2 linked regions of the Cricetulus griseus genome follow. The protein of the gene in region 1 interacts with the protein of each later gene in a pairwise test. Links are inferred from orthologs where the notes say so. Each region holds a gene or a part of one and is shown on either strand. Other genes may lie near its edges.

The links.
Region 2: the proteins of Junb (region 1) and Batf2 interact in binary tests that used the Homo sapiens proteins (3 or more experiments, as listed by UniProt). The link is inferred for Cricetulus griseus from reciprocal best matches to the Homo sapiens genes JUNB and BATF2.

What each region holds. Positions count from the first base shown.
Region 1 is NC_048596.1:159,386,159-159,389,885, reverse strand, and holds Junb (transcription factor jun-B), read right to left. Parts: upstream 2,351-3,727; 5' UTR 2,052-2,350; coding exon 1,014-2,051; 3' UTR 514-1,013; downstream 1-513. UniProt on the Homo sapiens protein: Transcription factor involved in regulating gene activity following the primary growth factor response. Binds to the DNA sequence 5'-TGA[GC]TCA-3'.
Region 2 is NC_048596.1:53,180,036-53,184,328, reverse strand, and holds the start of Batf2 (basic leucine zipper transcriptional factor ATF-like 2), read left to right. Parts: upstream 1-1,467; 5' UTR 1,468-1,605; coding exon 1,606-1,644; intron 1,645-3,865; coding exon 3,866-3,970; intron 3,971-4,293.

The DNA of each region.
Region 1 (3,727 bases):
CGGCGCCAGCCTGTTGAGAGACGCTCGGGTGGCTCCCAGGGCCCAGGAGAGCGTAAGTCTCCCGCCGCGGGCACCCTGGACCCAGGCCTGGGGCTTTCCGCGCCCCGAGAGCCGCCCGCCCGGGAAAATCCCGGCCCCTTCCCGGCGCCGCGGCCCTGCCGGGCAGAGCTGGGGGAGGGGATTCCCGGAATCTGCCCGGAGACCGTGCTGGCGTCACTGAGCAGAATAGGCCCATATATGGGCATCGCTTCCGGCGCGTCAGCGGGGAAAGCCCCGACGCGCTGGGCTGGGCGGGGCTGCTTACACATTCCGCGTTTGGTCCCGGGCGGCTTCTTCCCGGCTGTGGCCCGCCTGCCCCGCGTCGGGTGCCGGGGCGCGGCGTGAGAGGTCTGCGTGCTTGCACTGGACCTTAAGTCACCTGAAAGGAGGGAGCTACGAAAGCGGACGACTGGGGGCATCCCGTTCTTCTCCCTCCACCCGCCCGGCTTGGAAGAAAAAAAAAGACCACAGAAATTAATAAAGACAATTTTTTTTACTTAAATAGATTCAATAAAAAGTCAAACACACACACACACACAAACACATCTTAAAATAGACTCTAGACACGAAGTGCGTGTTTCTTCTCCACAGTCCTGTGCAGAGGGGGAGGGCAGGGGGCGGAGGTCCCTCCCTAGTGTCCCGGCAGGCTGAGTACCAGGCGGCGGGGCCAGCTCCGCCGCGATAGCGTAGCCCCCTTCTCCCTCCCTGTTAAATACACAAATATATTATATTCAATATGAATCCGGTCTCTTCCCAGAAAAAAAAAAAAAACATACAAAATACGCTGGAAGGGGGGGCCATGTAAACGTCGAGGTGGAAGGACTGGGCGCAGGCGAGCGAGCCAGAGTCCAGTGTGTGCGCGGCGCTCCAGACCTCCGGGCCGGTGCCCATCGCCCGCCCCCCTCACCCCAGGGGGGGGCGGGCGTCCAGCCTTCCCGGCCGGGGTGTCCGTGCGGGGCGAGCGAGGGAGGCGCTCAGAAGGCGTGTCCTTTGACCCCCAGCAGCAGCTGGCAGCCGTTGCTGACGTGGGTCATGACCTTCTGCTTGAGCTGGGCCACTTGCTCCCGGAGAAGGCCGGCAGTACTCGACAGCCCCGCATTCTCAGCCTTGAGCGTCTTCACCTTGTCCTCCAGGCGCGCGATGCGCTCCAGCTTCCGCTTCCGGCATTTGGTGGCCGCCAGCCTGTTCCGCAGCCGCTTTCGCTCCACTTTGATGCGCTCCTGGTCTTCCATGTTGATAGGGGACACCGGCGGGGTGGCGTCGCGGCTGCGTGCCTCTGGTACGGTCTGCGGTTCCTCCTTAAAGGCGGAGGCGCCGCGACCCAAGCCCAGCTGTGCCGGGTGGCCGCCCGCAAAGGGTGGTGCGTGTGGGAGGTAGCTGATGGTGGCCGTCGGGTACGAGCTCCCAGTCCCGACGGCGGCCCCGGCGCCCCCAGAGGGTGCGGAGGCTGGGGAGTAACTGCTGAGGTTGGTATAGACGGGGGGCGGCTCTGGACCTGCGTAGACGCCCCCTGGCCCGGCCTGGGGACCCCCGCTGGCGCCCAGGGACACGTTGGGGGGCGTCACGTGGTTCATCTTGTGCAGGTCGTCCAGGGCTTTGACAAAGCCGTCCGCGAAGCCCTCCTGCTCCTCGGTGACGCCGCCCCCTGTGCCTCCACTGCTGCCACCCCCACGGGGGTAAAAGTACTGTCCCGGAGGCGTGGGCGTCGTCGTGATCACGCCGTTGCTGTTGGGGACGATCAAACGCTCCAGTTCCGTGGAGGCGAGCTTCAGAGACGCGCCTGTGTCTGATCCCTGACCCGAAAAGTAGCTGCCTGCTGCCCCGCTGCCCTCTGGGCCCGGGCCGCGCGCTCCCGGGCCCTTGAGACCCCGGTAGGGATCCGTCAGGTTGAGTGCCAAGGTGGGTTTCAGGAGTTTGTAGTCGTGGAGAGACAGGCTGCCAGGGGTCCGACCGTATCCCGCCGCTGCGTATGAGTCGTCGTGATAGAAAGGCTGTTCCATTTTCGTGCACATCCGGGCGGTCTGGGAAAGGTCCCCCTGAAGGGCCGCCCCAGGCCTCGCTGCTGCGAGCGGCGAGCTGTCCTCGGCTGCGGCGGGACCCGGTGTCCGGTCGCGCGTCCTCGGGAACTGGAGACCGCCGGCGGCGGCCGGTTGGCAGCTGTGCGTAAAAGCGTTGCCGGGCTTCCAGACCTCGTCTCTGCCTCTGTGGTGCGCCCGCTTTCTCGGCGTCGCTTCCTTCAGTTCCCCGCTGCCTGCAGGATCCAAAACCGGCCCGGCCACCCTCAAGGTCCCCACCGCGCTGCCCCAGCCCCAAGCTTTTATACCGAGTTTGTCAGCTGCGGAAGTGCGCTCTGATTGGCCAACGCGGGAACCGGGCCCCCGCGGCCCCCTCCTAGAGCGTGGGGAAGGGGAGGAGGCGGCTCGCGTCACTGTCAGGAAGCGCGTGTCCTTGTAAACAGCGGCCACGAGCCGGGTGGCTCTGCGCGGCTGCAGGGGGAGGGGCTGCAGCGATGGAGACGCCGAAGCAAAGGGATGTGGAGGGGCTGAGGCACACGGGTTAGGACTGCGGGAGTACACCTCGGTGACTATGAGAGCTTGGCACAGCAAGCAGGGAAGGGGGCGCCGCGGGATAAGCCGGAGAAGTCTCGAGAGACCCAGAGTGCCTGTAGCTGAGAACTGACAATATGCTAGAAGACCCCAAGCAAGCAGGAAAGGGAGGATCGGGAGGGATCTGTTAACATTTGACCCGGGGATTGACTGGAGGTCCCAGATACAAAGGGCTTGAAAGACTGGAATTGTCACAGGTTGGAGGAAGGGGCGCCTGTTGTGCAAGAACAGTAGGGTTCTAGAGGCCGTTGATGAGTCTGAGGGTTCTCCTATAGGCGGAAATGAGAAGGAAATGCGGGGAGGGCGACGTAGATATGCAAAGGTGAGAAAGGGTCCTGGGTGCACTGAGGTAATACAAGAGGTGGAGGATGGGAACATGTCACTGTGGCCACCTGAAGAATTCGGATGTAGAGTTAGAAAGGTCAGGGCACAGCTTCCGAGCTTTGAGATCTGCTGGGGAGGATGATCCCAGAGACAAGGGACCTGTACGAATGGGGCTGTACCTCGTGGGTGGTCCTTAGGCACCTGCATACCCTGTACTCCAAGCCCAAAGTCCTCCCTTAGTCACTCTGGGCTCACCCGATACCCTGTCAGCTCTTGGAGAGCCGACGGGGCAGGATAGCTGGGGCGCGGTCGCCCAACCTCACTCCCTTCCTTAGAAACAGACTAGGGAAAGAGAGCCGAGGCAGGAAGTGTGGCAACAGCCCCGAGGGGAAAAGAGCCCGGCCCTGTCTCGTCATTCTGAGCCTACAGGACGGTGCACCCTGCCCTGGGCCCTGCCAAATTCTGCTCCTGGGAAGAGGAACCGGGGCAAGCGACCCCCGAGGAAGTCACAGCCCAGCTACAAACGCCTCGAGTCACTCTCTGCTCTCACCCATCTAGTAATGGTTCAGCCTGCAGCCTCCGACGACTACTAAGCCTGGCAGCCCGAGGACTGTTCCATTGACCCTGGGGGGGGGAGATGCAGCCTGAGAACCGGGCCTCATCACCAAGGCAACAGGCCGGAGTCCGCGAATTGGATTCGGGGCGGGGCAACCCCCCTCAATTTCTCCCCAGCATCCATATTAGGGCACAGGAAGAGG
Region 2 (4,293 bases), about 110 Mb from region 1:
CTCTATAGCTCTGGTCATTATAGACAGCACTAATCTATCATGGCATGGAAGACATTGCTAATCAATTGCAGTGCTCTTTTATTGTTATTTATTAAGAGACACTGCCTCTTATAGCCCAGGCTAGCCTCCAATTCTTCGTGTAGCTATAAATGGGCTTGAACTTCTTATTCTTTTATCTCCATTTCCCAAATGCTGGTATTATAGGCATCTACCAGTAGCACCTTAAAAACAAAACAAAACAAAACTTGGACATAAGGATTCTTTTTTGGGTGGGGCTGGGGGGGTTCGAGACAGGGTTTTTCTGTGGCTGTCTTGGAACTAGCTCTTGTAGACCAGGCTAGTTGGATTCTTTTAAATTTTTTATTTTGGGGCCTAGAGATGGCTCAGTTGTTAAAAGCACTGGCTGTTTTTCCAGAGGACCCAGACCCAATTCCCAACACCTACTTGGCTGCTCACAACTATCTGAAACTCCAGATCCAGGGGAACCAATGCCCTCTTATGACCTCTGAGTTCACTGGGCACACATATTGTGAACAGACATACACAAAGACAAAACATTCATACACATAAACATAAAATTTAAAATTTCTTCATCATCTTTTTTTTTTTTTTTTCTGAGACAGTTTCTCTGTGTATCCTGGATGTCTTGGAACTCACTCTGTAGATCAGGCTGGTCCGAAACCCAGAGATTTGCCTGCCTCTGCCTCCCAAGTCCTAGGATTAAAGGCGTATGACTCAACTACCTGGCCATCATCATCATTATCGAGACAGGGTCTTAATTGTTTAGCACTGACTGCCCTAGGCCTTGGAGCCTCTAACTCAGAGACACCCTCCTGGCCCCACTTCTGAGCACTGGAATTTGAAGGTGTGAACCACCATGCCAGCCCTGACTGTTTATTTTTGCAGTCATGCCTGCTGCATTGGTCACAGAGAGTTTGGAGTGGTTACATTGTCTAGGTTCTTTTGTCAAGCTTGGGAACTTTTACTATGTCCGCAGGTTAGCCTCAAACTCCTGGGTGATCCTCCTGCCTCTGCTTCTGTAGTACAAGCACCAAACCAACCACACCCAGCCCCAAGTCTGGGAATTTGTTCCATCCTACCATGTCCTTTATAGATGAAGAAACTAAAGTTCAGAGAAGAGAAGATGAGTCACCTTCTCAAAGCTGCATACTCCAGTGTGGACTGTGAACCTGGGCTCCCCAAGTGATTACAGGGCCTCTTACACACACACACACACACACACACACACACACACACACACACACCCTTCTCCTCCAGGTTCTATCCCTGGCAGCCTGGCAGCTCTCCCAGAATACTGTCTTGTTGTTCCTCCTGTTTGCCCTCCACCAGCCTTCTTCCAGAGAAGGGGCCTCCGGAAGGCAGCTCATGTAAGGAAGTTCCAGCCACGTGAGCAAGCAAGAGCCAAGGATTCTGGGCAGCCGATGGCTTTAGGAGAAACTGAAACTGGGTGTGCTGGGGGCGGGAGTGGTCACTGGGGATTTAAAGAGCCACCACTTCCTTGAGCCTCCAGAGGGCACTGGGAGGGCAAAGCTGCTGAGGGGACACACAGGACCGGATTGAACCTCTGCTCCCCCTGCCTAAGCCATGCAGCTCTGTGGGAGTGGTGCGCTGCTGACTGGGACAGTGAGTACAGGGGACTAGGAAGGAAGCGGAGAAATTGGCCAAGGGTCCCAGGGCCCAGACGAGGGAGGATGCAGTAAGGAGCTCCAGTCCCAGCTCCACACCATGTCTGTGTGACCTGGGACTGGGCTCCACACTGCCATCTCTGGGTTTAGTTCCTTCTGGGGATGGGAATGAAGCCTACCCAGCTCTCACACTGCAGACCAGCCTCCAGCTTTGAACATGGATCCTGCAGACCTGCTCTCTCCTGTTCCAGCTGCTCTCACCTTGCTGCTGCATTTTCCAGATCCTTGCCTTCTCTCCGCAGTCTCTCAAAATGCAGCTTTCTTCTTTTCTCTCTGACTCTTTCCCCAGCCTTAGTACTCTGGGGTTGAATTTGCCCTGAGGGAGATACAGCCACTGGGAATCCACAAACCTGAAGAGTCCTCAGCCAGGGTGGCTGGGGTCTTACCTGAGGTAGGGTGACAGAGGCAGGGTCCAGCTCTGGGTATTTGGCCTCAGGTTCCCTTTAATTTTCATGGTTCCTATGGTTGGAAGTTTCAGCACTATCAGCTGAAAGTCCCCTTTTCTGTCAGACAGACTCTCCATTCATTGGTTCTAGGCAGCCACCCCTTTTCAGTGTGAACATTATTTATTTTTAGTTTATGTGCACTGGGTTTTGCTTGATGTATGTCTGTGTGAGAGTGTCAGATCTTGGAGTTACAGACAGTTGTGAGCTACCATATGGGTACTGGGAACTGAACCGTGGTCCTCTGGAAGAATGCTCTTAGCCACTGAGCCATCTCTCCAGCCCCTTTTAAGCTAAGCAAATACTCCCCACTAAGTTACATTCCTACTTTATTGTTTGTTTCAGAAAAGATCTCATTCTGGCCTCACTATGTAGCCAAGCCTGGCCTTGACCTAATCCTTCTGTTGGGATTATAGGTAGGCACTACCATGTTTGGCCATTTTGCCTGGTTTTTGTTGTTGTTGTTGTTGTTTTCCTCCCACTTCTGTGTCCTCCTAGCTTAGTGCCTGGTACATAGTAGGTACTTAAAAAATATCAGTTGAAATGATGTGGGGATGGCTTAGTCAATGAAGCACTTTCCTTGTAAGTCTGAAGACCAGTGTTTGATCCATTAAAAAGTCTGGTGGGGTGTCAAGCACTGGGGAAGGAGACACAGGCAGATCTCTGTGTGATGACCAGGCAGTCTAGCATTAGTGGTGAGCCCCAGGTCAGTGAGAGACTCTGCCTCAAAAGATAAGATGGGTGCTGGAGAGATGGCTCATCAGTTAGGGAGCACCTACTACTACTCTTAGAGAGGACCTGAGTTTGTTGGTTCCCGGAACCTACATGGGACAGCTCACAAACAAACCATCTGTAACTCCAGCTTCGGGGGATTTAACAGCCTCTTCTGGCCTCCAAGGTGCCTATAATCACAGGCACATATATGTCACCACACACACATATACACATGATTTTAAAAATTAAAATAAGATTGATTGCTTCTGAGCATAATATATATATATATATATATATATATATATATATATATATATATATATGAAAACAGGCATATTCTATAAGTGTTAGCACATGCCTGTAATCCTAGCACTTTGTACTTGGAGGCAGGAGGTTTAGAAGGCTCAAGGCCAGCCTCTGCGCCACATAGTGAGTTCCAGGCCAGCCTGGGCTATTTTGTCTTTCTGGGCTCTATACACATGTACACCAGGTCCACACACACTAAAAAATAAATGTTCTTTGAGTATGTTAATACCAGCACTTTAGGACTGAGGTGGGCATGAGGACATGGAACTGTATCAGGTTCTGACCCCATTTTTGTGGAGCTCTGGGCTAGGAAGATCAACCCTCTGGTGTGTTCACTCTCTGTGGACGGTTGGGGAAGCACCATGGGCCTCTGTTTTACTGTTGAGATTATTGTACTCAGAAAAGTCAATTGCTGGCTTTTGAGCATGTGTGTTTGAGGTTGCTAGCTATGTTCTGAGTTTGAATCTCAGCCTCCCAATTTATATAAAGCTGTGAGTTGGACACTGGATTGGGTTGGATTTACAGTAAGGAGTACAGTGTCTTCAGGGGGGCTGTGGTACCAAGGGAGGAAACATTTTGGGAGAACAGGGATTGTAAGGACTGGACTTGAGAAAGACAGCTTTCCAAATGGCTGATCATGTCAGAGGGGGCAAACCACTGCCAGGACCCCACAACCCTCTGCTTCATGCCTCATAGGACCCTGAGGAATGTCAGAAGCAGCTGAAGAAGAAGCAGAAGAACCGACTGGCTGCCCAGCGCAGCCGGCAGAAGCACACCAACAAGGCAGATGCCCTGCACCAGGTAGGGTAGGGATGCCCTCTTTTGGTTCAAAAGACTGAGTGACTTACAGAGAAAAGAGCTCTCTTTTTAAAAAAAGTTTATCTTATTTGTTTGTGGTGGTTGTTGTTTTTGTTTTGTTTGAGACAGGGTTTCTCTGTGTAGCCCTGAAACTTGCTCTGCAGACCAGGCTGGCCTCAAATTCACAGAGATCTGCCTGCCTCTGGCTCCCAAGTGTTGGGATTAAAGGTGTGTGTCACCACTACCTAACTGAAAGTTTGTTTTATTTTATATGTATGGGAATGGGTATTTTGTCTGTATATATGTCTGTGCAGAACATGTGTGCC